Regions from separate parts of the Mus musculus genome. Here all the other regions are reported to be linked to region 4. Evidence: microRNA targets listed by miRTarBase, many of them from high-throughput screens and not tested one by one. Region 4 holds a microRNA gene; each other region holds the end of a gene's coding sequence.

Region 1 (7,119 bases), not on the chromosome of region 4:
AAGAGACTTTTTTTTTTAAAGATTGATTTATTACATGTAAGTACACTGTAGCTGTCTTCAGAGACTCCAGAAGAGGGAATCAGATCTTGTTACGGGTGGTTGTGAGCCACCGTGTGGTTGCTGGGGTCTCTCCAGCCGTAAGAGACTTTTCTATTTCTTTTTAAACCAAAGATCTCTGAGGTGGGTAGTAAACTCAGGTGCCGGCATGTTTGGCTGCTGTCCAGCTGTAGTTTTGTCAGCCAGATGGCTCTTGTGCTGCTCACTTGCCCATGGTCCTTAGAGGCAGGCAGCAAGAGGCCACAATACTGATGGCAACCCCAGTATCTCTGCATGGTGACAGAGCATTGGAGAAAGATACTGGGATAACAGAGTGGCAGAAATGGGCCTCTGTGGCTATGTTTGTAATCTTTTTTTCTCTTGGCCATGTTGCCTACAGGTTGCAATAAATTGACAGACCAGACCCTGTTCTTCCTAAGGCGAATTGCTAATGTCACCTTGATTGACCTTCGAGGATGCAAACAGATCACGAGAAAAGCCTGTGAGCACTTCATCTCAGACTTGTCCATCAACAGCCTCTACTGCCTGTCTGATGAGAAACTGATACAGAAGATTAGCTAAGACATGCTCAGCCCAGACTGAACAGGAAAATCTTCCCCTGCCTTCCCACCAAGGAGAGTCTCTCCCTGACCCTGCGCAGGCTCTGAGGCCAACGACACATTCCCTCTCTGCTCTCTTTTCTCTGAGCCCTTCTCCCACAGGTGGGGCAGAGAGGTTGGTGGACACCAAGGTTATTGCCTGCTCCTCTCCCTCCCACGGAAAAGAAAGGAGAGGTTGATCAAGGAGAAAGCACAGGCTGTGCTATCCCAGTTCCTGCTTGCTTGCTCGTCTGCCAGCTAGGAAGCTGGGCTCTCAGTTTGGGGGAATTTGTGCATCTTTCACCTGCACTGGGCCAAGAACCCTACCTTCTCACCCATAGTCCCTAGCAGTGCCTGGTTCTGAGCATACTCTAGGGAGGAAGGCAGCCTTGCCTCCATGGCCAGATTCTCCTCATGGTGTCCGTTGCGTGTCTCTCCTCCGTTAAACTCTCCCGGCTTCTGCAGGAGGAGCCAACAGCCCTAGAAACACCAGGCCTGGCAGGTCTCAATGGTGCTGTGAGTTGTCTGAAGCTTTGCTCCATGTCTGTCATAGCCCTTTTTTCTTGTCCCTGAGCTTGATGCTGTCCAACACTCATAATACAGTCCCCATTCTGCCATCACCCCCTAAACTTTTCCACTAGTCACCCACTTGTCCTTTGTTGCACTTACTTGGGGTTATCAAAAGCTCTTCAGAGGAGCTGGAACTCTGCCCCTCCCCCCCCCCCCCGAAATGCCCATATCATTGCTACCCAGGCATATTCTAAGACAGGCATCATTAATACTCCCCACCCATTGCTGCCCACCAACTGCCCTTTTCCATTTGTCCTCTTTCTGCCTGAGCAGGGCTTTTCTAGAATTTGTGTCCTCAGAAGGAGCAGCATGTTTCTCCAGGTGGGGGAAACAGAAGACTGGTTGAATCCCCACCTGCCTCTCTAAGCCAGGCTTTTCTGGGCTCTGGTTTAGCATGGCCCTCTGAGCCCAGGCCTGTGTATAACCTAGCAGCTCACTGACCTGGTGCCTTTTAAGGGGAGTCCTGATTGAAAACCTACCCTCTGCCTGCAGCCTTGGAAGTGTGTGTGCATGTGCCTCTGTGTGTCTGGCTAAGTGTGCTGCACATATGTGCAGGGAAGGAGGGGAGCATGATGGCTCCCACTCCTCATCGCCCTTCTTCAAGCCCCATCAAGCTGCCCCCTTTGACTTTGCATTGAACGGCCTGTCCAAAGATCCTCTCTCTAGGGCAGCAGAGAGCTTTTTGCACTTTAGAAAAAAAAAAAAAATGAAAGAAAGAAAATGGTCGGAACTGTTCTGGGTCAATATTTAGAGTATGAGGAGATGCTCAGCAGAGGCCTGTGGCCAGAGTTTGTCAGTGATACATGCAAATTTGCACTCTGCTCCCCATCTATAGGAGATTGATAATTGATAGCACAGCCTTGCCCCGCCTTCTCTTAGCCCCAAACATATCCCTTCCCACTTCCCACCCCATTTCCTGGAATCTAGCCTCAGACTTTCCTAAACTCCATCAAGAGGGGACAGAGCCCGGGCACCATGAGTCTGAAGTGTGAACCGCCCAAGGAGAGATGCTAACTGTACCCTTGCCACTGCCAAAGCAATAGAGGCAGAAGTGTCCCCTCTGCCACTCAGCCCAGCTTTGACCCTGGCAATAACCAGACTTTTTCCAGGAAAACTGGGTTTCTGGCAAGGGATGGCATTGTTTCTTCCAATCTGCTGATTTCTCTTGGCTGCACCTTAAAAACAGCAGTCTGCTCCCTTGACCCTCTGCCATTCCATTGGTCTTCAGGTCCCAGAATCCTGGGCCTGAAATGTTGAGGAAACGCCAGTGACTTATTCCAGAGTGCCTCAGTTGGGGGAACTTCTGTAAAGAACCCTGGGTGTTGAGCAAAAACCTTATTAATACTATTAATGACCTATAATTAGAAGCTTCCTGACTTTTTTTCTTTTTGGTTGCTCCTGTGGAAAATACTAAAATTACTAAGTTTTGTTTGTTGTCTTTTTATGAAAGGGGAGGTGGAGAGACCCTTTCAGAGCAGGGATTGTGCCGGGAGAGTGCCTCTGCCCTTTGGGACAGTTCATCCACAGAAATTTCTAAGCTGATGGCTTGTCTGGGTTTTGGTCTTTGCATTTGAATTTAGAAAAAGCAAGCATTTTACCGCACAGAAATTTGTCAGTGGAAAAGGGAGCTCAGGGTGGTGGCAGATGGACTGACGCCCTTGCTGGGTCTTTTCTTTAGGACTATGAGGGAGAATGGTTTTTAGAGGTGAGAGTTGGTCCTTGCAAAAAGAGAGAAGTGTCTCCGAGGACGTAGAACATGCGAGTTCATAGTCCTGCATCTACTCTTAGCTGCAGTCTTGCCAGAGCCTGGCCTCAGACTGCAGGACCTGACCTCTGCCTTCATCTTTCCACATACTGGGGCAAAAAAACACAAAGGAAAGGAAGAAAATTATATATATATAATTATATATATATAATATAAAATCACTTGGTGATTAAAAAAATAACTGCTCAATAAATAAAACTCCTAAAGTCACTATGTTTAAAGGGTTTGGTTTTTTGGGGGTGGGTGGGAAATATTGTAAATATATATTTTTTGTTGCTTATTTAGAGTCGATCTCCAATGTTGTGCTAAGATTTTTAAATTAAATGTAAGCATTAAGGGAATGAGTCTTAGGCCACCAGCTGACACATTGGCATTATTTTGGGTCAGGGAAGGAAGAAAGCTAGTTGGACTTTGTTTTCTAAAAGTTTCCCACTTGGTTTTAGAAAGAGCAAAGATGTCTTTCTTCTGACACTTGGGAATGGGAGATATTTGTGTAATAAAATTTTTAAAAGACAAAAAAAGAAATAGCCTCCAATGGGAAATATTTTGATTTGGTTTTCTTTTTTGTTTTTGTTTTTAAATAAAAAGACTTTAAAAACAAAAACTAACCCCTTTCATTTTTGGTGTATGTGTATGTCTATCTAAGAGGATGTCAGAAGGTCATATAGACATGCTGATGTCTTGCTAAAACTAGGAAGTGCCTGCCCCACCACTCTGGACAGAAACATCTGTGGTACAAGCCTGTATACTTACTAGCTTTCTTAATGTCAAAAAGCAACACTTGCTCGATGAAGTTAAATTTTAAAAGTACTTTACATGTGATTGCAGGCGTGTACATATACCATGGCATACTTCTGACCTGTGGAGGTTACAGGGCAGCTTGGAGGAGTCTCTTGTTTTTGTAACCATGTGGAGTTCCATGCTTGTAAAGGTCAGAGGGTAGTTTTTGGACACTTTTTTATGTATACAAGTGCTCTGTCATATTTGCATGCCAGAAAGAGGGCATTGATCCCATTGCAGATGGCTGTGAGCCACCACGTGGTTGCTGGGAATTGAACTGAGGACCTTCGGAAGAGCCAGTGCTCTTAACCAGTGAGCCATCTATACAGTCCTCCAACCCCTATCCCCAAAGCAAACTTTAATGGATGTGTAAGTATTTTATGTGGTAAGGCTAAAGGACCTCCCCAAAAGTAAACAGACTTAGAGCAGTTCCTGGGAACAGCCTGGGCATCTCTGACCTCTTGGCCCCAATAACCAAGACCAACCTCCCATGCTGAAGCCTCCAGATGGCCTGTGGCTGGCATTTGTCCCAACTCTAGGTTAACCATGTGACCAGAGAAGTACTGCCTGCTGCCAGAAATCCTCACTATCTCAGGAGGAGTGGATTCTTACTCATCCTGTTGCCCTAAGCTGACGCCCTGCTCTCTGCTCTAGAAACCGATGGAACACTGGTTACGTTTCCTGAAGATGAGCTATTTGGGTGTTAGCAGAGAAGAGGGGATTGTCAGCTTTGCCTCTGTTCTCATCCTTGCCACCCCTGTTTAGGACCTCAATCAGCACAGCCTCTAGTCCAGAGCTTCTTAACCGGGGGTTGTAGTCCCTTTGGGGTTGCCTAAGACCACTAAAAGAATATTTACATTATGACTCATAACAATACTAAAGTCACTATTTTCAAGTAGCAACAAAAAAAACAGATTTAAGGTTAGGCACCACCACAACATGAGGACTGTATTAAAGGGGCGCAACATTTGTAAGGTTGAGAACCATGGCTTCAGTCCAAATCAGGAGCAAGAATATTTTAATGACTGACCGACCCAGGTGCTGTTTCATACTTAAAACTCATAATGCAGGGGGCTAGGAGTGGTGCTTGCATGCCTTTAATCTCTTGAGTTCAAGGCCCACCTGGTCTACAGAGTGATTCAAGGACAGCTAGAGCTTCACAGAAACCCTATCTTTAACGAGAAATACAAATTTTAAATTTACTTAAGGTTTTATTTTTTTATTTGGAGAGTTCTCTTTATGTAGCCTTGGCTATTCTAGAACCTTCATATAGACCAGGCTGTCCTCAAACTCAGAGATCCACCTTCCTCTACTTTGCCAAGTGCTGGAATTAAGAGTGTGAACCATTATAACCGGCTAATTTGTTGTATATACATTGTCTGTGTATATGTCTGTGTACCATGTGGATGTTTGGTGTCCATAGAGGCCAAAGAGGAATCAGACCCCTGGAACTGGAGTTACAAATGTAAGCCACTACATGCATACTAGAAATTAAAACCAGGTCTTCAGGAAGAGTAACCAGTGCTCTTAACTGCTGAGCCATATCACCAGCCCCTGATTTCTGTTTTTTAGTTATGTGTATTATGTATGTGGATGAGTATGGTTTGTGCACAAGGGCAGTGCCCTCAGGCCAGAAGAAAGCATTCATTCGATCTCCTGGAACTGGGGTTATGGGAGTTTATGGACCATTGGACTTGAATGCTGGGAATCAAATCTAGTCCTCTATAAGAGCAATATGTGCTCTTAACAACTGAGCCATCTGTCTAGCTCAAAGCCTTCTGTGTGTGTGTGTGTGTGTGTGTGTGTGTGTGTAGCTGGAAGGAGGTGTATGTGCCTGTGTGGTTTGGATCCAGAGAAGACATCAAATTCCTTGGAGCTGGAGTTATAGGTATTTAGAAAGTCTCTTTACAAGACTCTGGCTTACTAGGTACAGGAATCTGAACTAGGACCCCATGATTATATAGCAAGTTAACCAATGAAACCATCTTTCTATTTTATTTGCATAGGGCCCTTCAAAAGAAGTATTTTGGGGAGGGGGTGCCTATTCCCCCAGGCCGACTTTGCTAAATGTGCTTGAACATTGGCTGCTTCACACTCTGGATGCACAGTTCTTCCTTTTCCCTATGTATTTCCACAGGTCCGGTCCAAGCTTAGGACGGAAGCTGAAAGCCAGAGAGCACTAAGCCTGATCCAGTCCCCTAACTTTCCCTGTCCTGTCCATCCCTCTCTAGAGGCTGAGCGCAGCTGCTATAAGCCAGGAGGTGCTGGAAGACAGTAGTGCACCTGAGAAACCAGAAAAGGAAAGGTAACAGGTAGAGGGCAGAAGAGAAATGAGACAAAGGGCTTGAGAGGATGCCTGGAGAGCAAATGAGACAGAAGACTCCAGCGAATGGTAGAGTCAGCAGACTAAGATTCTACCCTACTCCAGAGCTTTGCACATCATCTTTGTTCGCCAATGCTGGCCCAGAGAGGATAAGAAACCTGCCCAAGGCACTGGACGGGATTAATAGAAGTAGCTCTCAGATTCAGTCATACAACACTTCAGTACCAACGTGAGGACTACCAGACATCACAAGCTGTAATTCACAAGCGGTTGACTTAGGGTACAGGAACACATGCGCGTTGCATCTGGGAGGGTGGGTGTAGCTGAGGTCCAGAAGACTGAAGCTGGAATCTTAACCTCTGCAAAAACTCTGAAAAGCAGGTTGCGGCTGGGGCTGGGACAGGGCTGGACTACACGACCTTAAAGGTCCCTGGAAAAGTGCTGCTCCTCAGAACAGGGTCATGAGAATCTGGAAAGGAAGTAAGAACCTGCAACCTTCATTCTGGTGCCAGAAACTTGTAATCCCAGTGCTTGAGTAGCTGAAACAAGAAGATGGTGAGTTTGAGACCAGCCTGAATATATATTGACTTTGTCCCTAATAAATAGGACCCTCCAGACTGGAGAGCTAAGTTAGGTCCTGGAACCAGTGTAAATGTAGAATGAGAGAACAAACCTCAAAGTTGTCTGCTCACCTTCACACATGTGTTATGGCACACGTAGCCACACACATGCACAACATGCACACACACAGTAGCAATAACAACAAAACAGAGTATGATGACTTGTGTCTGGAACTCAGACTTGAGAGGCTAAGGAAGGAGGATCAATGGAAGTTCAAAACCACTTTGATCTCTATAGCAAGTTCCAGACCAGCCAAGGGTATATGGTAAAACTCTATCTCAAAAACAAGGTTGGTTGTTTGTTTGTTTGTTTGGCAAGGTTTCCTAGTTATGGTTTCTGTTGCTGTGAAGAAAACACCATGACCAAAAGCAAGTTGGGGAGGAAGGGTTTATTGAGCTTACACTTTGACAGCACTGTTCATCATT
Region 2 (7,120 bases), not on the chromosome of region 4:
TTAGATCTTCCTAATTGGCAGCCAAAGGCACTTACTGATATAACTGAAGCGGATTTTGTCCTGTACTTTTTCCCTATTGTGGTCTTCCCTTCCACCCACCCTTTTTTTTTGTTCCTTTTTTCCTCTGTTACAGTTTAGAAAACGCTAAACCCTCCTCCCAGGCAGCCTCCGTCACGATCCCTGATCACCTCAGCATCAACCTCTCTCAACCCTCCACCCCTTCTTCTTCTTCTTCCTCTTCCACCACCACCCCCTCGCTCGCCACAGCGGGGACTTCCGACGCACCCTCCAGCCTCCCCAACCCTCTTCCGACCGCCCCTTGTGTCTCCAGTCTGCTTGGCATGAAACCCATCCCTCTCCTGGCTCTAAATGTTGTGTCTGCTGCTAAGGGTACCGGGGCTTCAGCTACCACCACCACCACCTCTACTGTGCCATGTGTAACTAACAAACTGAAAGGCGAGAAGCAGAGATTCTCTCCCTACTGAGTGCTTATCTTGGCATTTCCTCAAGTGTTTGTTTATTTTGTTTTTCTTTGTTAACATTGGTGAGAACCAAACTATTGTGAGCTTGTGATCATTTTCTTTTTACTACTTTGGGGGATAACTGGGTGGGAATGGAAACAGGGGTAATACTTGTTTAGGGTTAGGTCTTCACAGCTCAGTGCCTGTTCAGAGTCTGACTTGTTGATTGAAATCTCTATCTAGAGCCACAGTTCTTACTCTTTAATTCTGTTATACTTTTTTGTAGCTTTATTCTGCCTTGCAATATAAAAAATGTGTTAGGCTCTGTGTTGATGAATAAAAGCTTCTCCTTTAGTCCTTTCTTTTTTTTTTAACTTTAAATCATTTAATGGTTAAAGCTGTCAGCTGGACTTCTTGGCTGAATCTGTGTTCTAGTTATAATAAAGTTGCCACAGTAAGAACAGTAGCTCACTGTGTGATGTGACGGGTGAAGGGTGGGGATTTGTGATTTGTGCCTTGTCAGATTGGATGGCTGTTCAGCCCTTTTGTATCTTCCATGAATTTTGTAATCCTTTGTCAATATTTTCAAGTAGAAGGGTCTTCAGTAGTTTAAATACTGATGATCCTTCATGACTGACCAGAAGCTTTTAAGTCAAGAACACACTTACTTTGCCAACACACCAATAGTTATAATGATGTGTCTTGTCTGAGCTCTTTTCTCTGGTGAATAGTCATTTCAAAGGCATATACAGGACTGACTTCTTTAGCCATAAGATAGGCAGTGTTCAGTGTCAAGAGTTGAGCAGCTTTTGCCTATATTCCTTTAATGGATCATTAGATATGCTTCTGGGATACTAGAGAGGGCTTATATAGATTGATTGTTGGTCATTCTAAATATTGCTCAGTCAAGTTCATTTACCTTCTATTTCCTACCTGTCTTTCTCACTAGCAACAGTACCATGAGTGGGAGATAATATGCTTATATTTGAATGAATTCTCTAATGGGAGATAGAAAAGAGGTCCTAAGAAAATATAAACTTTATGAATGATTTGTCAGGACTAATTTTTGTGCTGTGCTTTTCCACAGTGCTGCACTTAGCTCACGGTGTGTGCTTTCTCCTTTTTTCTGGTGTGGGCTTGATCCCATAGTTTACTGCCTAGGTACACCTTGACCAATTTTTTTGTTTGTTTGTTTGGTTGTTTTTACTTATTTTTTCCCGAGACAGGGTTTCTCTGTGTAGCCCTGGCTGTCCTGGAACTCACTTTGTAGACCAGGCTGCAGGCTGGCCTCGAACTCGAAATCCCCCTGCCTCTGCCTCCCCAGTGCTGGGATTAAAGGCATGCGCCACCACGCCTGGCTCCTTGGCCACTTTTAAAAACTAAGATAAGCCACAGATGTTTTTCCACAAGGAAAAAAAAAATGGAACACTAAGGGTTTTGTGACTGAGGCTTAGGCAGTGGCAGGATATTTGCTGGGCCCTGGGTTTGTTTTCTAGCATTTAAAAATTAAAAGGAGGCAATGATTATTGATAATCCAAGGTACATATTGTGAGTTTTCTTTACTGGTAGGTAGGCAGTGAAGGTTTCTAGATTTTTTTTTTTTTCCCCTTGATGGTCTTTTCCAAACATCCCTTAAGGTAACATTGTTGAACATCATCATGAAGACAATAGTTGTTCATGCTTGTTATTAATCTTCAGTTTCTGGTGTTATTGTGGCTCCTTTCTTCCCTCCTAGCTTTACAACACATTTGTTCACATATCCTAAGTCTGGGTCAGGATTTTTTTCGTGTGTGTGTGTGTGTGTGTGTGTGTGTGTGCGGTCCTAGCTGTACATGCACTAACCCCCACCCAGCCTGGGTTAAGGATTTTTAGAAGAGCAAATTGCAGGTTTATGGGTTGATGTTAGCTGCCTCCTATGTTGTGTAGGTCAACTCTTTCTGTAGTTAAAACTTACTATGCTGATAACCATCTTCATTGAGATTTGAGTTTTAACTTTGTCTGTTGGAAGGCCTCTTAGCCTTAATCCAATAAATATCTCCAAATAAAGATTTGCCGGGAAATAATACAGATGTTCAAGGGGCTTGATACCATTTTTTTTTTTTTTTTTTTTTTTTGGTTTCTCGAGACAGGGTTTCTCTGTGTGGTCCTGGCTGTCCTGGAACTCACTGTAGACCAGGCTGGCCTCAAACTCAGAAATTCGCCTGCCTCTGCCTCCCAAGTGCTGGGACTAAAGGCGTGCGCCACCACACCTGGCTGATACCATACTTTTTAACAAAGGTTTTTGGTGTGAAAATATTTAAGAGCTTGATGCTCCTATATGAGTCTGATGTCAAAAGTCATTGCATTTCTGGTTGAGATTTCCCTCTGTAACTCATTTAGTTCATCTTGCTCTTTAAATTCCTGATAAAGCTTTATTATGAGTACTGGATAGTTCTTGAGCTGTTTATATGGCCACTGTACTACTGCCCTATATGGTTGTTTTTTGAAATACTAGATTAAAACAAACCATTTACATTGAAACTTTCTTTCCCACTGGTCTCTTCTTATTCAGTTTGCTGAATAATACATGTAGGGCCTTTGGAGACCTGAAAATGTTGGATCCCATAGAATTGGAATCACAGATATTTGTGAGCCACCATGTCGGTTCTAGAAATAAAATCTGATTCCCTACAAGAGCAACAAGTGTCCTTAACCACTGAGCAATATCTTGAGTCCCTAAAGCTTATTTACCTTGTCATTGGGTCATCCTATTTTGAGATAGGCAAGATTCTGCTGCGTTCGTGTTTTGTTGTTCATGGGTCCATGTGTGGGCCTAGGTGTGTACCATAGTGTACAAGTGGAGGTTGTCATTGTCTTCCACTTGGTTTCAGATAGTCCTTTTGATCACTAAAAAAAAAGCTGACTTTCCAGTTTCTAGGAATTCTCCTCTCTCTGCCTCTTGATTTGTGGTTGATGTGCTGTTACTACAGATGCTATGCACTATCTACTGTATCTGTTTTAACACTACACTGGGTTTGTTAAAGTCAGGTGTCTATGTGCTCAGATGACAAAACCTGTATCTGAGCCATTTCCACAGCCTATGTAGACCTGATATATGTGCATGTGAACATGTATGGGTTTGTGGAATTCAAAAACTGATTTTGTTATTTTCCTCAGTCATCTTTAATTTTTTGAGATTTTTTTTTTAAAGATTTATTTATTATTATATGTAAGTACACTGTAGCTGTCTTCAGACACTCCAGAAGAGAGAGTCAGATCTTGTTACGGATGGTTGTGAGCCACCATGTGGTTGCTGGGATTTGAACTCTGGACCTTCGGAAGAGCAGTCGGGTGCTCTTACCCACTGAGCCATCTCACCAGCCCTTTTTTGAGATTTTTTACTGAGCTTGGAGCTCACTGATTTGGCTAGATTATGTGCCCTCCTCTCCACTTCCCCTGCATTGGTATTCCAGGTGGACATTGCCACTTCTGGCATTTTTATATTGTGGGCAGGTCCTCATTGCTTGAACATCTCTTCCTTCCTTTTGAAAAAACTAAAGATTCCCCTCTATGCTGCATTTTACCTATGAGAGGCTTCACTCTGCATAGTTTGAGATCTCACATGTATATTTAAAGTTTAGGCACATTACGGTAGTAACATAGACAGGACAAATAATTTCTGACGTTAAAGAAAACATATTTTAATTGAAGAATGACTTCTAGTTTCCGGGATATACCCCTTCCCCTGTGGTATTTGTACATTTAGTGCACATGGTATTAAGCCAAACATCACAAATGGATGTCAGTTGGCTCTTTGTGAAGTTAAGCTTGTGGTGTGGACCTGAGACACCTCTAGTTGTGTTCAGAATGAGGCATTTTGCTGCTACCCAGTGATAATGAAATGTACACTGAATGCCTTTCTCTCAAAGCTTAATTGTATTCCAGGACCTCAAATGACCTATTTGAAACAAGTAGAAAGGCACTGTAGCCAGGTATGTTTACAAGGAGAATTTGGTACCAGTAAGGCCACAGGTTTTGGATTTTGAAGAGTGAGCTAAGGAACTGAATTGAAGCTTTGATACTTGTTTTTTTGTTGGTATTTGTCCTAAAATTATAAGCTTGAAAACAATAATTCAATTTTTCACTATAGTTCCTATTCTTGCTCCTCCCTTTAAGTATTGTTAAAATTACATAATATCTTTAAATGTTAGGCTCCCAACACAAAGTTCCTTCACATTGGTGGGCTGTTCTAGTGTAAACACGACAGGATCAACTCCTTGAAGCCTAATGTTCTCTAGAAATGCTTTCAGTTTGCAAAGAGTAAAACGTGAAGAGACAGTGTCACCAACTTAACATCATTTGTTATGTTCTTCTGAGAACACCTCAGGAACCTTGGTTGTAGTGGTGTTACATAAACAACCTTGTGCACTATGGTACTAGCTAATCTAAGAAACCTTGAAATACCTTGGTGTGATGAATTGTAGCTAGGTAAGCTGACTTATTCTTCTTTGTGTTTTACAGGCTTTCCTCGGAGACAGGTGGCATGGGGAGCAGCTAGAACAGAGCAGACCCATCCATAATCCTGCTGTTCACCACCCATGATCCATCTGTGTAGTTTCTGAACAGTCAGCGACTCCAGGTTTTAAAATAGTTTGTAAATTTTCAGTTTCTACACACTTTATCATCCACTCATGATTTTTTAATTAAAGTGTTTTAATTCCTTTCTCTGTTCAGCAGTTACGCTGAGATATCCATATTTAGTTTTATAAGCTTCTCCCCCTTTTGTTTTTTGGTTTTTGTTTTTGTTTGGCTCATGAATTTTTGTTTGTCATGGAAATGTAAGAGTGGATTATTAATACATTTCAGTTTAGTTCTGTAATGTCAGGAATTTTTCAAAAAAAAAAATTAAAAGATGGACTGGAGCTTTTTCTTTGTGAATAGAAACTGGATGCCACAGTGACTTACGTGGGTGTTGTTCCTGTCTGATGTTATTTTTATACCTTTTAACTTCCAGAGAGCCCTGATTCAGTTTCAATAGAATTAATGGACTTTCTTCCCTTTTTTACCACTCCAATTTTTTTAATTTGCCCTCAATCACCTCCCCCTCCATGATACTGGGTAGCCTCTGAAAACTTGTTTACGGAGATTGACAATTACACTTACCCTAGGATTGTAGAGCAGCTGGTGCATTTATGGAGCTGGGCAGGAACTCGTGGATAGTAAGGATAGTAAACTTGGGAATGGCTGCCCCTTGTTCTACCTTGCATACTTTAAAGTTCTAGTAATTGTTCATTTAGTTTTCTCCATAGGTGTTTTGAGACCTCCTTGTTCTGAAATCATTTAGAAAAGTTTACCTGCTATCATTTATGTTAACTTAGAAAATAACTTGTCCAAATTCCTCAGATAAAATCTTAAATCCAAGTTGAAACCATGTATTATACCACTCTACTCATTCACCAAGAAAACCCTCGACAGTTGGGCCTGCATGGAGTGGTTATATTTCAAGGTTGTTCACAGGGGTTACAATATGACAGTCCCCACCCCTACCAGGCACCAAGATAACAGTGGGGACTAACAGCACCCCAGTTCTTCAGCCTGAGCCATCACATGCTGTTAGTCGTCTGGCCCAAAGCCAGGGTTTGGGCAGAGAAACAGGAACAAAGAAATGAGTTACATTGCCACCTGAGAAACCTCAGAGGGATGACCCAGCCTTAGTTTCTTTCCCTCCTCCCAAGTGCAAAATGTGTAAACAGTAAACGGAAAATAAAAGTGCAGTTTTAAGTGAATCCTCTACCTGCCCCTCCAGTGTTCAGGGATAGACAGTATAGAGACAAGCCTGGCTTTTCTATTGCCTACTTGCTTGTTCAACATAAGGAATGGGGTGAAGCAAGAAGGGGCCAGCTTCCTTTCTTTATAGCTCTAGGGTAGTACTCGGAGTCATTCATTTCCACAGCTGCCAGTGTCCCCAGAACTTATTCGGTAATTGGTCAGGGGCGTCGTTCACTCTCAAGCCTGGCTTAAGGCTAAGAAAGCCCCATCTATCTGTTGATTATGTGGCGCATATATATTATTTATATAAATATTTCTCTATGTACAAGGAATAAGAGTGTCTTTCATGGAGGAAGGGAGGCTGGGGGCCGCAAGGCATCAATGCTGTTGGAGTTGTCCAATTCAGTGCTGTCACAGTCTGAGTCTTCAGGATTGGGGCCCTGTGAAGAGTAGAAATGCAGTGAGGTGGGGGAGCCTTGGGGACCCTTCTTTTACATTAACAGTGGAGTTTTTTTTTTTTTTTTAAATCTGTTCATAGGTCCAAGGCACTATGCTAGATTCCTTTTAGGATACCTTGATGACTACTGTCATCAAAGCTGCCACACAAATTAAACATCAGGCACTATATGCTCGGAACCATTAATTCTCAACTACTACTTACATGGATATTTGTTTTAATGGTTATGGAATAATGATTTTTAGATTCTCAAATGACTGGGTTTCTGATCCCAGTTCACTTTTCAGTGTCTGGTGGTTGCAACTCAAACTTACCTGGCCATCCTGGTGTTGCATGGGCAAGGAGCTGGCTTCACGTTCAGGGACCACCTCTGAAGTAGGTAGGTCCAGTGGAATTTCTGAGCCCTGTGAGCACATGTCATCAGATCGTTCATCTGGTCGCTCATCAGTGTTGG
Region 3 (7,100 bases), not on the chromosome of region 4:
ACTTCACAAACTTGGTCATACACATGAACACACACACCAAACTAAATTTAAGAAAGACATCTGATCTTAAATGACAAAGACACAGACAAGAAGTGGTGATGACCCAGGCTGAACTGTGGATTGTTTCTTATTCTTGTTACTCCCAAAGTAGACTATTCTGACAACGTGGGGATCAGCAGAGACTTACAGAGACTGAATTGCAGGTAACACCTCAAGAAGCCAGGACTTTGGGGCTCCTTTTCCAACCCACGAGGCAAGAATTATATCAGAAGGCCAAAAAGATGGGGTCTACAATGGCAGGGTCAGTTTGGAGAGAACTGGGAAGCATTCATATATGAAAGAACAAGGGAATGTAAGATTCTCGAGAAAGGATTACATCTTGAGACTTGTACGCCAAGGGTGCTATGGTGAAAGTGTCTGAGGGAGAGTTCTATGGTGAAGGTGTCTGAGGGTCTTTCTTTTAGCTGCTCTCGTGGTGGAATGAACATCCGGCATATCCTGTCTGACTGGTTTGCCTCAGCAGTTTCCAGCATTCAGCAGGAATTCATATCTTAGACCCTTGAGTAGGGATGGGGAAAATTGCAACTCCAGCCACTGTGTGGCTAGCACTGCCCTGTTGTGCTGATGGTTGTTATGTTGTTGTTCTTGTCAACTTGACCCAATCTACTGTCATCTGAGAGGAGAGAACTCAACTAGAAGAGTTCTTCCATCATCATATTGGCTTCTAGATAATTATGTGGGGCATTATCTTGATAAATGACTGATGTGGAATAACCCAATCCACTGCGGGTGGTGCCCCACCCCGGGAGAGTCTTTTTTTTTTTAATAAATAATTTTTTATTTATTCACTGTCCTCCTGTCAGTCACCTCCAACAAAGTTCTTCTCCCATCCCCCCTCTTTCTCCTCTCATGGTGGGGGGGGCACTCCTGGCTATCTCCCCACTCCTCCAATTTCAAGTCTCTGTGAGGCTCTTCCTTTCCCTCTGAGGCCAGACAAGGCAGCCGGCAAGTAGAACACATCCCTCGTACAGGTAACAGCTTTGGGATAGCCCCCCACTCCAGTTGTTGGGAACCCACATGAAGACCAAGCTGCACATCTGCTACATATGTGTAGGGAGGCCTAGGTCCCGCACATGTATGTTCTTTAGTTGGTGGTTCAGACTCTGAGAGCGCCAAGGGTGCACTCCTTTAATCCCAGTATTTGAGAGACAGAGGGCAGGCAGATATCAGTGTGTTTGAAGACAGCCTGGTCTACAAAGACCTGGCTGTTGCAGGAAAGCTAGAGCTATCATACATATAATAGACAGAGAAGCCTTTTGGAGGAAACAGGCTGAGCAAGACGTGATGGAAGCCATTAAGCAGCATTCCTCCATAGAGTCGCTCCAGAGCTCCCTTGAGTTTCTGAACCCATGTCCCTCACTGATGGACTCGGTGTGGGAGTGCAAAACAAATAAACTGTTTCCTCCCTATGTTGCTTTTCATCATGGTGTTTATCATAGCACAGAAAGCAAACGAAGACACCTGTCTTCTGCTGTAACTACCAAGTGTTAGGTCAGTCCAGGGGCAGATAGGACCCAGGAGCAGGTAGGCTTATATAGTGATATCTAATTATCTGTGTCCAAATATCTGTGTTTGTGTGTGTGTGTTCAAATCATTAAGCATAGATGAAAGAAAAATACACACAATTAAAAGTGAAAAAAAAAATCTCCACAAATACAAACCAAGTCAGAAATCCTAAAGTTTTTGTTGAAAACTATGGAACTCTATTCAAAAAAATGATATGATTAATTTTAAAATAAAATATGCAACTAAAAAACCAGCTATGGTGGTGCGTTCCTAGAGTCCAGCACAGAAAGGTGAAACAGGAGAATTTTAAGTTCCAGACCAGCCTGGGAATAGATCCTGTCTAGGAAACACACACACACACACACACACACACACACACACACACACACACACACACATTAAAATGGACACCAAAAGTTCTAATATGTTTGATGGGAGAAATCCAGCTCTTTCTTAGACAGCTCTTGCCAACTTAAGCAAAAATTAACTAAAATCAATTAGACTCATCCTTTAGTGTTCTTAGGACAGGAACTCCCATGCATATAAAAGTATGAGAATGTTTAAATCCTCCTATAAAGTGGTGTGGTATTTGGAAATAACCCCATATACCCTCTCATTTATATTATACCATCTGTGGTTTATTTATAGTGGAAATGATATGTGCTTGCTATATTGCACTAACAATGGAATAGCAACAAGAAGAAAAGCTGCATATGCTTAGTAAAGATGTGACTTTGGAATATTTTTCATCCAACTGATTGAATACAATGGTACACAAAACATGCTATGGACAGCCAAAATCATAAGGCAATGTAGACATCACCTCAGGAAAAATGATCTCCCCTTAAGTATTCTGTCAATAAAACCTTCTATTGGGGAAAATGGAAGTTTCTGGTCCTTTCTATGGATACTGGGAAGGCTTTGACAGAAAGATACCATCTCTATTTTTCCAGACAACAGTAATAGTTGAGAGGATACATGTATAATTTTTATTATGATGAAGAAAATACATGTCTTCATACAAGTAAAGTTGTGCATCATTAAAACATCCATCAACATTAAGAACAAGACAAGTATGCAAACAATCCAATTACTGTTCTCAAGTGCAATTCGATAGAAAATGAAATAAAGATATTGGGGAAAATGAGTTAAAGGGAAATCTTAGAAACAAAACAACCACGATTATGGTGACTAATTATTTGACATTAACATACAAAACCCAACCATTGTCCTATATATGGCTAAAAAAAGACAAGTGAAAACGGTAACCAACTAATAAGACAGCCAGAAATGAACAGCAAGAAATGTGTAGGGTCTGATCACCCTACTGACTGCTGTATTACTAGATTTGAGAACAAGCTGAAATTGTGGTGCTTTCAAACAGAAAGACCTGCTGTATGAATCCATTGTGACCCCAGTCCATGACACAGAGAATACGAGGGAGGGATCATAAAACATTATCCATTTGAAAATACTGATAATACCAAGAAAACTTTGGAAAATCAACAGCATTAAGACAGATTAATCAATGGAACAGAAAAGCACTTGGAGAAACATAGTTTACACCGAAGTGACAATCTGAACTTCGTGGAGTCTCACTGCATTGCAGAAATGCTTTATTATATGTTTGTGTACCACTCTTGGAGATAAACAACTAAATCTTTATCTATATTTACTATAATGAATTTTAAAGAATAAAAAGTTATAAAGGCAGATAAGTAGAAATGTTAAGATTTTGAAAGAAAATATAACTAATTTATTTGTAATTTCAACACAGGAAGGCCTCTTCAAACCTAGAGGGCAATCATGTTCTACAAAGGAAAACATAAATAAACTAACAACACAGAGTTTTAAACTTTCTAATATAAACATGCAATCAATGAACACCATAAAAAACAAATGACAAATAAGTTAAAAGAATAAAAAAACTGAAATTTGTATTAAAGATATAAATATTACAAAACTGAAATTACCAAAAAAATATATATGAAAACTTCATCCTTGCTCATGGTAAAATGAACTAAAATCAGAATGGTTTTGCCTCATCGTTTTTACCTGTCAGATCGGGAAGAGAAAATTAAATTTGAAAACATTTAACAGCATAAAGCCGAGAATCTGATCCTTTAACTTTGGATAGGGGCATCCACTGACCAGTTCGTGGAGGACCATCGCAATGCACGTATCTAAAGTCTCACATAGTCTTAGATCCAATAGTTCCATTTCTAAACTGGAATTTATACACAGAAACTTTGGCAAATTATGCACCAAAATGCTAACTATAGACTTGTGTATAAAAATAAAACTTGGAAATGTTGCAGCCAGCTATGTGTTCATCACTAAAAGGCTGATCCAATAGATTATAAGCCACCAATGGAGGGGAACTCTAAGCAAATATTAAGAGGAATGAGGTAGACCTTTAGACCATTATGGAAAGCTCTCTAGGACAAAAGACTAGGTGCCTAGCACCTTTCAAACATGACTTCTAGGAAAGCAACAACAAAGTCTCTCCATGTTCTCCTCCCTCTCTCTGTTCCCACCTTTCCTTTCTTTTCCTCTAAAACTGTCCCTAGGAGGAAACGGAAGCAAGGAGAGACTATTTTGAACCATATACACCTAACTATGAGCACAGCTATTCTTTATCATTACTTTTATAATGACACTAATTACTCAGTCAAAGCAATGGCTAGGGTTCAGTTTTTAACAGTAAGACACAAAGCCTGGTCTTTACATATCAAAACATATCTATTTGTTTCTAGTTACTTTAATCAAAAATCATAATACCAGCAAAATATTTGATATCATTTGTTGATAATGTATGCAACAGATGCATGCTGGGAATAACCCTGCTCCAGATGGTGGGTGTTAAAATCAACAGTCTCCAGATTTATCCATGTCACTCTATACTATCTCCTCTCTTCAGCCAAACACACACACACACACACACACACACACACACACACACACACACACAGTGCAAACATGCACATGCCCACATACACACAGGGTACCACCAAGCCTTCATCTTCCTATAGTGAAATTAATGGCTGGGAAAATGTGAATTTTTGTTTGGTTTGGTTTTGTTATTCTGAGAAACCTAACCTTCTCTCATGATTTCATTTCTGGAGTCAGAAGCTTAAAATTTCTGGGAGCTTCAGAAGTGTCATGTAGTTTTAATCCCCAAGAAGTTCAATAACACTATCAAACAGGAAAAGCTTTTCTCGGGGAAAAATACTCTCAGCTCATTAACAAATAAAGATGTGAAGTGCAAACAGACTGGTATGAGCTATACAGCCAGAGGGACCCTAGCTCAGAAGAAGGAAAAAAACATACAAACAACATCACCCCTACCCCATCTCCAGTGAATCCATGCACTGACCCCAAGTGAGCTTTGTATCTGAAGCCACAGGAAGGCAGATCCTCAGAAACCAAATCCTGAGACAACCAGCTTTGTATCTAGATGAGTGATCAGCGACATCATCTTTCCATAGCTCCTGTCACACAGGAGCCCAGAGGGGACTAAACTGCTTCCTTAAAGGGTATTTCCACTTGGTGTGCAGCAGTACAGATGCAAAAACTTCTAAGACTTGTGGAGTCTGACATGCAGAGCAACTAACATGCTTCTATTTTCAACACACATAAACACACAAACTCACTCACTCTCTCTCTCTCTCTCTCTCTCTCTCTCTCTCTCTCTCTCTCTCTCTCTCACACACACACACACACACACACACACACACACACACACACAAAGTTGAGATAAGCTTCAGCTACTCCTTAGTTAACACTCAGAACTCTATTTGCCTTTCAGGTTTTGTACAAACAAATTCATTTAACTCCTCAGGACAAGGAAGCAGCATGAAGCTTGGAGGTCATCTAACATCTAAAGGGTCCAAAGCCTCAAAACCCTTTTGGCTAGGGTGAGTCTCAGTTTTGAACTGACACAACCTGTGTGATAATTTAATTGTTAGGACACATCTACAGGGATTAGCCTGCAAAACATCATTTAGAAGACCAACTTTCTCCCTGGTGTAAAGTTGACATTGGTAAAGACAAAGATGGATGGATGGATGGATGGATGGATGGATAGATAGATAGATAGACAGATAGATAGATAGATATAGTTAGATGTAAGTTAAATCACAGAGAATGTAAGTAGCAGAGGGGTTTGTAGTTTGTATTTGAATTTGACTTCCTTTTGCAAGGCAGCTGTTGAAATGGATCCAGTGGGAAGTGCTCTGGATTGGTTTCAGCCTGGGTCTGTGCATGGCAAAGGCAGACAGCCTATCGGGTGAGCCCATGACAAGGGGCATGCAGGCATGCGCCACAAACTGGACAGGCCTCTCTACTGGCCTACTAGAGCCACTAAGATCTACCCTGTAGGGCTATCCAGAGTGGGCAAATGACCACATGGTGCCCCTGCCGAGTACAATGATATGCCGGTGATGGGTGTAAGAAAAGTAAACAGAAGCTGCTGGGATCTTTTTAGTTAAAGTAACCAGGAAAATAAATCTCAAGACCGACAGCTACAGGGATACCTCAGAGTTCTTCCATTTATCACAATGTAGAGTTAGGACCCCAATTCTCGTCCTCCAGATTCTCTTCTTATCTGTGCATCTCCTACATGATAACATTAAGCAAAGTCTTTGGACACAGCCTCCACAAAGTTTGGGGCTGACATGAGGATGCCGATGGTGCAGATGATGGTAAAAACCGAAAAGGCCATGAGGCACAAGCGGTCCACCACACAGGCCGCAAACTTCCACTCACTGCAGATCACCTCACTCTCATCCTGGCAGCGGAAGCGGTTGGCGATGTAGCGGACCTCCTCCAGGATCTTGGCCAGGTCGGGGTCCCCATCAGAGGGGTGTGTACCATGCATGAGGTGCTCATCATGTGTTGGGGAGCAGGCCAAACGACCACACACGACCCCAGAGTCTGGAGTTGGGGCACAGTGCATGCCCTCCAGGCCTCGGAAGCCAATGTAGAGCAGGTTGCCATTGCTGGTGGGTGGCCCCGCACCTGCGCTCAGCTCCACACTGGCCAGGCTGCAGCGCCGAGGCTTGTGCTGACAAGCCGGCCGCACCTTGTCCTCTCCCGGCCTCTTCATGCGCAGAAACCATGCACACCAATTCAGAAGAATGATCCTGGTCTGCAACGACAAGAGGATATCGTGAGCACCTCAGAGTTGTCTATCAGCTGAGCCCCCACAGCAGTGTGACCCCCACAGTGGAAGACCTGCTTTACAGACTGTAGGGAGAACAGGATCCCCTCTCTTCTCAGTGATTTTATAGAGCAAATCAGCAAGGAAACCTGTCAAGAATGGAGCCAAATATGAAATGTGAGCTAAGAATATGACCTATGTAGGTTTATCACTGGGGGAACAAGCTGAAGTTCCCTCGGGGTAGACATACTGCACCCTCGGTGAGAGAAAAAGGCACCTGGTTAGGTAAGGATGTCTGAGATGTGTACACAGAGAACACCATCTCTTTCCCATACCTTCCTTTTTTTTTTTTTTTTCTTTTTTACTTCTAGAA
Region 4 (7,121 bases):
CTCTGGATATGGCAATCACTAGATGGTCCATCCTTTCGTCACACTTCCAAATTTTGTCTCTGTAACTCCTTCCATGGGTGTTTTGTTTCCTATTCTAAGAAGGGGCAAAGTGTCCACACTTTAGTCTTCGTTCTCTTGAGTTTAATGTGTTTAGCAAATTGTATCTTATATCTTGGGTATCCTAAGTTTCTGGGCTAATATCCACTTATCAGTGAGTACATATTGTGAGAGTTCCTTTGTGATTGGGTTACCTCACTCAGGATGATGCCCTCCAGGTCCATCCATTTGCCTAGGAATTTCATAAATTCATTCTTTTTAATAGCTGAGTAGTATTCCATTGTGTAAATGTACCACATTTTCTGTATCCATTCCTCTGTTGAGGGGCATCTGGGTTCTTTCCAGCTTCTGGCTATTATAAATAAGGCTGCTATGAATATAGTGGAGCATGTGTCCTTCTTACCTGTTGGGACATCTTCTGGATATATACCCAGGAGAGGTATTGCTGGATCCTCCGGTAGTACTATGTCCAATTTTCTGAGGAACCGCCAGACTGATTTCCAGAGTGGTTGTAGAAGCTTGCAATCCCACCAACAATGGAGGAACATTCCTCTTTCTCCACATCCTCGCCAGCATCTGCTGTCACCTGAATTTTTCATCTTAGCCATTCTGACTGGTGTGAGGTGGAATCTCAGGGTTGTTTTGATTTGCATTTCCCTGATGATTAAGGATGTTGAACATTTTTTCAGACACCTGTAATTTTAAAAGAGAAGGGCCTGGCGTTGTGGCGCACGCCTTTAAGCCCAGCACTGGGGAGGCAGAGGCAGGTAGATTTCTGAGTTCGAGGCCAGCCTGGTCTACAAAGTGAGTTCCAGGACAGCCAGGGCTACACAGAGAAACCCTGTCTCGAAAAAACAAAACAAAACAACAACAACAACAACAACAACAAAAAGAGTGAGAAGGGACATCGCAAGGGAAGACAATTTCCCCACTCCAAACAAACAACAACAAAACCCATCCAATCTGGGTGGTTAAGGTTGTATAATTTAAAAGCAAGAGCTGGGGGACTAATTGAGTTGTGGAACAGTTGGTACTTGGTATGTTTTTTTTTTTTGTTGTTGTTGTTTTTTGTTTTTTCGAGACAGGGTTTCTCTGTGTAGCCCTGGCTGTCCTACTCACTTTGTAGACCAGGCTGGCCTCGAACTCAGAAATCTGCCTGCCTCTGCCTCCCAAGTGCTGGGCTTAAAGGCGTGTGCCACCATGCCCGGCTGGTACTTGGTATGTTTGAGGCTATAGGTAGAACATTTTCTAGCATGTACAAGGCATAGGGCCCATTTACAACACTAACATTAGATAAAATAATGCACATAAGAAAACACACACACACACACACACACACACACACACACACACTAGCAAAAGGTCCCTCACCAGCAAGCTGGCAGCTCACTAGTGGTGTGTGCATGGCCTCTAGAGGTGGGGGAAGGAATGACAGATTTCCTGGGCTTGACTGAGTAGGTCATAAGGACTTCAGGGGAACTAGTAGGATGATTTCCTGAGGGCCAGGAAAAATCCTAAGAGGCTGAGATGACAGTTGGCTGGGAGGGACTTGGGATAGTGTGGGAAGAACTGATAACATGGATTTGAGAAATCAGTTGACTTTACTAATGTGTGGATGAGAGAAAAGCTGTAGTCAATTTGAATCCTGAGGGGAGGGAGTTATGTCTTGGACCATTACTCCCCTGTCTGTAAGAGACTTGGTCTTTCCACTGACAAACTTTTATTTTGAGACAGGTTTTACCATGCGACCCTGGCTAATCTGAAACTCGCTATGTAGCCTGGTCTCCTTGAATTCATAGAGATCCACCTGCCTTTGTCTCCCAGGTACTAGGATTAAAGATGTGTACTAATGTGCCTTGATCTATTGCCAAACTTTTAAATGCCATTTTAAAGTGTGTGTGTGTGTGTGTGTGTGTGTGTGTGTGTGTGTGTGTGTGAATATGAACATGAGTTAGGTGTCCTCAGAGGTCAGAAGAGGGTGTTGGATTTCCTGGAGCTGGGACTGCAGGTGGCTGTAAGCCATCTAGTATGGCTGGGGAACTCATTTAAGTCCAATTTTAACAGTTCTGCAAGAGTAGTACTCGATTTTGACAGCCATGCCATCAATCTCTCCAGCCCCCAAACTCATGGAGCAGAAAAGTTGCTTCCATGCAGAATGCAAAACATTACAAATGAAAAGCACAGGAGCAGCAGCAAAACACTTTAATTTTACATTTGATTTTTATTTTTATGTGTATGGGTGTTTTGACTGCCCATATGTCTATGCATGCAATGGCTTTAGAGACCAGAAGACGATACTGGACTGGAGTTACAGATGCCTTTGAGACAACTTGTGGATCCTGGGCATGGAACCTGAGTCCTCTGGAAGAGCAGCCAACCCTCTTAACCACTGAGCCTTCTTTCTGGTGAGCCCCCTCTCTTTAAAGACAGTATTTCATGTAGTTCAGGCTGGTCTTGAACTTCTGGCTCTTTTCTCCACTTCCCAAATGTTGGAATTTCTGGATGTTTTATTTTGTATCTGTGTGGAGCGATGCAGTGTGGTGGCTGTATCCCCAGTACTGCAAAAACCTAGGAGGATTACCATAAGCACAAGGCTAGCCTGGTCTACTCTGTGAGTTCTCAACTAGCCAGCCGTGATATACGATGTCTCAAAAAACCAGCATTCTTTTTTTTCCCAAAGAAGACAAAACAATGTAGGGACTGAGATATTATGGGTCAGTGTTAATAGCATTGGTTGCTCTACCAGAGCATATGGGTTTCATTTCCAGCATGCATGTGTTTGCTTACAATCCTCTATAGTTTCAGTTGCAGAGGATAGAAAGCCTTTTGACCTCCCTGAACACTAGGCATGTACATGGTGGTACAGACAGGCAAACAAAGCACCCATACACAAAAAATTACATTTAAAATTAAGTGGACAAAATGAGTTCTTGAAGATCGAAAACCAGCTCTGTCTGCTTTAAAAATATTTTCTTTCAGCCTTTGAGCTGGGGGGTAAAGATTCCCTGTCTCATATGGATATAACTAGGGGTAAAGCTCAGACGCCAGCTGCAAAACTCTGTTTTTCCCTTCGCTGACAGAACTGAGTAGAACACCTCAGGTTCTGGGTGCTAGGTGCTGTGTATCTTTGGACATATTAGCTCAGAAAGGTCACTTAATGAACTCTTACCCATAAAGTGGTTCACATTCTCAATGACATCAATGACATCAGAGCATTTCTTCACTTACAAAAAGTGCCAGGGCCTCCTCAGCCCAGCCAGAGGTTTCCTGATGACGATGCTCTGAAGTTGGACAGAAAGAGGGAAGGCCACGGTTTTTAAGTAAATGTCCCATCCTGGAGGAGCAATGAACAAATTTCTCGCGAAATACGAAGCATCCCCTAGGGGTTCATTCAACCGCTGGCTTGGCCAAAGGACACTTTGCCGGGATCTCAGAGCCCTCGCTAATTTGGTGAGCTGTGTAGTAAGCATGGACGCGCCCTCATGAGTATCACTATAATAACTACAGAGAAATGAGCTGGGAAAAGGCGGACAGAGCTCCTTTTCAAGAGTTATGAATGAGGAGAAAGTGTTTGTAGAACTCATTGTTAAAACGGTGGAGCCAAAACTCGGGCGCCTGGCCAATCGGAGCCTGGAGGCTATTTTGAAATCTTTCCAGCAGCAGCCAATAGGTGCGCAGGAGGCAAAGCTTGGTGTAGGCGCAAGCCAATGAGGCTGGCGCTGTGCCTTGAGGCCCGGGGCTCGGCCCTCGGGACTGTCAGATGGTTAAAGATGGAGCCGAGGGAGAGAGGGCGCCACGAGGTGCTGAGGTGCGGGGTTGTCCAGATATGACGGGGCCGCCGCCTACCTGGATCTTCCACTAAGCTTCACCTTGTCCCCCTGGTGAGAACAAGAGGTGTCTGTCCACGTGAGTAACTGGTCTGGGATAGGGTGTGCGGTGAGGCCAGGGAAACTCCAGATGCCAGGAAGCCCTAGTTCTGCTCTTCTAGGCAGGAGAATCTGTTAGGATAGAGTGCAGAACTCATACTGGGGGAATGGACCAAGGACCGGATCTCGGACTCCAAGGGCCTCACGTGCAAGGAGTGAAGTATCCCTCTTATTCTAGTTCTGGTCTGAAACAGGGTACAAGTAGTCCCACTGTGCTCCCCTCTGCAACTGAGCGCAGGCCTCTCTCCTTTGTGTTTGAGCCCCCTCGGGTGCTCGCCCTTCAGCTCCCTCCTTGGAGTACCTCACCAGAATCAGAAGCCTGTTAGAGAAAGTTTGAGTTCCCTGAAGTTAATAAGTCCAGAGGACTGCATCCGGGCTGGAATCCCGTCTGTTCTCCGAGCTTGGATAGATGTCCCACCCACCCATGGTGGTTGAATTTCCAGCGCAGCCCTGCGTGCAGCGAGGGCGATGGATTTCCTGCTGGCTGCGGGTGCTCTGACTAGGTTGCACTACTGTGCTGTGAGAAGCAGTGCAATGGTATTGTCAAAGCATCTGGGACCAGCCTCGAAGACCACCTCACCTACTGTTCCTTCTTTCTTCCCTTTCCAGGCCTGGCCCCTCAGGCCTGCAGGCCGTACCCTCCCCCTGCTCATTTTACTCTCTTCTCCATGGAAACTTGAGATTGTAGCCAGGCCCGTGTCTCTGGGGTCAGAGGGCATCCTTTGCTCAGGCCGAGGCTCCGCCCAGGTGGGCATGCGTTCTAGGTCTAAGATCCCACTCCAGCCACCCCAACTCCCCATGCCCCGCCCCACCCCGTGAGACTGACAGGCTTGTTGGACACTCTTTCCCTGTTGCACTACTGTGGGCCTCTGGGAAGCAGTGCAATGATGAAAGGGCATCTGTCGGGCCAGCTAAGGAGCCTGAGGAACAAAAGGGTCAGTGCTTGGATCATAGTCTTAGATAGAGATAGCTATCTCTAGCTAAAAGGATAAGGTGGATGCTGAGAACCATATTCCAAGGCTGGAACCAGTACAAAGGGGAGACCCCAGATTTGGAAAGGCTCCAGTCTCAAGCTCTTAGCCCCCTCCCCCCAGGTTAAGATAGGGGAGTCTGCTGCAGGGGGCGCGGCGGTGAGTGAATGGTAGGTAGCTCATGCCTTAAATCTCAGCACTTGGAAGGCAAAGGCAGGTGGATCACCCAGATCTAGGGCATCCTGGTCTACATAGTGAGTTTTAGGACAGCCAGGGATACACAGAGAAACCGTGTTTTGAGAAAAACCAAATTAACTAATTAATTAATTAATCAATTAAAAAAGAAAGAAAGATTGGTGAGCCCATGTCTGGAGGCTGATGCAGGAAGATTGTCTCAGTTTTGAAGCTGTCTGAAGAATCAAAACAAAACTAGGAACTCCAGGACCTTGTGGAGAGAAACAGATGTTCACCTCTTTGTATGGAAAAGGTTTGTATACCTTGCTTAGCCTTGACTGCCTCGGGAAGAACTGGACTCAGCCTTTCCTGAGATAACCACACCTTGGGTTCACACCTTGAGGCTCAGAAGAAGTGTCCTGCCTGGGCCAGATGGATGGACTTGGAACAAGAAGCCTGCAGAGTAGGCCTGCCAGCCATGTCTGCTTGCTCCTTTACAAAGAGGGTATGTGCTGAGTAGGAGAGGCATGGAGGTGTCTGGTATGTCTGCTTTCCAGACAGGGCTGGAGCTCATTTTTATTTATTTATTTATTTATTTATTTATTTAATTTATATGAGTGCACTGTAGCTGTCTTCAGACACACCAGAAGAGGCCATCGGATCCCATTACAGATGGTTGTGAGCCACCATGTGGTTGCTGGGATTTGAACTCAGGACCCCTGGAAGAACAGTGCTCTTAACCACTGAGCCATCTCTCCAGCCCTGGAGCTGAATTTTTAAGGATGCCCGATCCTTAGTGTGCTTGCAGAGTTACCTTTAGCGGCAAGACCCAATGGCCCATGCCTTTGAATGCAGCACAGGGAAGGCATGGGTAGGTAGATCTCTGTGAGTTCAAGGACAACCTGGTCTACCCTGCACGTTCCAGAAGAGCTATATTTACATGGTAAAGCCCTGTTTCAATGCACCCACCCCTCTTTTACAAACAAACAAAAACCTAGTAGGAGGTGGTCAGGCCTGCCTCCTTGAGAGGAGGCCCAGGCTTCCAGATTCCCTTTTGGGAATAGATTGAGAAAATCAGCCTTAATAGTACTCTAGCTCCACAAGTCCTGGCACCCATGGGGACTGCTCTGATACATAATGAGTCTCAGGCCTGACGGAGGGCTTTGATGGGGAAGAAGCAACCACACTCCTTTGTGGCTAGGGTAGACGTGTGTCAGCAGCTGTTGCCACAGCAGATCCATCCTGAGGTGCTAGGAATCCTAACATGTGCATATCTTACATATCTTACATGTGCATATCTTACATATCTTACATGTACATATCAGGGGAGGTCTGGGCCGCAAAGGATTTAGGTTGGCTAAGTCACTTCTGTGAATTTGAATTGGCTCAGGGTGTAGAACACTTGCCTATTATGCACAAGGTCCTGGGTTTAATCCCTAGCACTCCAGAGGGGAGGGGAGGGAGAGGAAGGTAGCGGAGGTAGGTGTGAGGAGAGGCCACAGGAGGACATCAAGACATAGAGCAAGTAAGTGGTCATGGGTGCAGGCATGCAGTCTCTAATCCCATTGTTTGGGAGGCAGAGTTCCAGCCTGGTCTACAGTGGATTCCAATATAGCTAGAATTACATAGGAGACCTTGTCTCAAAAAACAAGCAAAAGAAGTGGTCAGGACATGATCTGGAGAGGGATGTGTGTAATGCTTCCGAGTAGGTAGGAAACTCAGAGGGTGCAAAAGCCAGAGCTAAAGCCCTTTGGGGGGCAGAAGGAAGTCCTTTTGGATATTATCTTAGTGAACTGGAAAGTAGATTCAATTACCAGGGCGGTCTGGTAGGGCAGAGTATGGAGGGAACTGCAAACTGGGAGAGGGCTGGGTGCTTTGAAACGGAAAGGACCACGGCTCAGAAGGAGGTCAAAATCCAGGAGCTCAAAATCCAGAAGGTACCTGGGTGCCTTTGGCGGTCACAGTGAGGGGTGGAGCAGTGGGGGCGGGGTGG

The links. Region 4 holds the annotated microRNA mmu-miR-130b-3p (CAGUGCAAUGAUGAAAGGGCAU, at 4,861-4,882, shown strand). A microRNA usually pairs through its seed, bases 2 to 8, with sites in the 3' UTR of a target mRNA and lowers its output. Matches are read on the target gene's strand: a 7mer-m8 pairs with bases 2 to 8, a 7mer-A1 pairs with bases 2 to 7 and ends in A, and an 8mer does both.
Region 1: the mRNA of Kdm2a is a reported target of mmu-miR-130b-3p. Seed matches in the 3' UTR shown: 7mer-m8 at 1,295-1,301, 7mer-m8 at 1,888-1,894 and 7mer-m8 at 2,017-2,023.
Region 2: miRTarBase lists Map3k12 as a target of mmu-miR-130b-3p. Seed matches in the 3' UTR shown: 7mer-m8 at 6,174-6,180 and 7mer-A1 at 4,204-4,210.
Region 3: miRTarBase lists Chrna7 as a target of mmu-miR-130b-3p. The part of its 3' UTR that is shown has no 7-base or 8-base seed match.

What each region holds. Positions count from the first base shown.
Region 1 is chr19:4,312,599-4,319,717 of GRCm38, reverse strand. It overlaps Kdm2a (lysine (K)-specific demethylase 2A), which reads left to right. Exons shown (of 21, transcript NM_001001984.2): 21 at 437-3,574. The coding sequence ends at 618. Among named protein-coding and RNA genes, the nearest start is that of Grk2, 9.9 kb to the right of the region's middle.
Region 2 is chr15:102,493,528-102,500,647 of GRCm38, forward strand. It overlaps Map3k12 (mitogen-activated protein kinase kinase kinase 12), which reads right to left. Exons shown (of 16, transcript NM_001163643.1): 15 at 6,981-7,120; 16 at 4,120-6,649. The coding sequence ends at 6,554. Pcbp2 (poly(rC) binding protein 2) reads left to right here. Exons shown (of 15, transcript NM_001103165.1): 15 at 4,962-6,532. The coding sequence ends at 4,998. Among named protein-coding and RNA genes, the nearest start is that of Map3k12, 20 kb to the right of the region's middle.
Region 3 is chr7:63,093,028-63,100,127 of GRCm38, forward strand. It overlaps Chrna7 (cholinergic receptor, nicotinic, alpha polypeptide 7), which reads right to left. Exons shown (of 10, transcript NM_007390.3): 10 at 5,665-6,715. The coding sequence ends at 6,197. Among named protein-coding and RNA genes, the nearest start is that of Chrna7, 120 kb to the right of the region's middle.
Region 4 is chr16:17,121,832-17,128,952 of GRCm38, reverse strand. Mir130b (microRNA 130b) reads left to right here and starts at 4,811; the gene lies at 4,811-4,892. It overlaps 2610318N02Rik (RIKEN cDNA 2610318N02 gene), which reads left to right and starts at 3,751. Exons shown (of 7, transcript NM_001358255.1): 1 at 3,751-3,963. It overlaps Mir301b (microRNA 301b), which reads left to right and starts at 4,457; the gene lies at 4,457-4,553.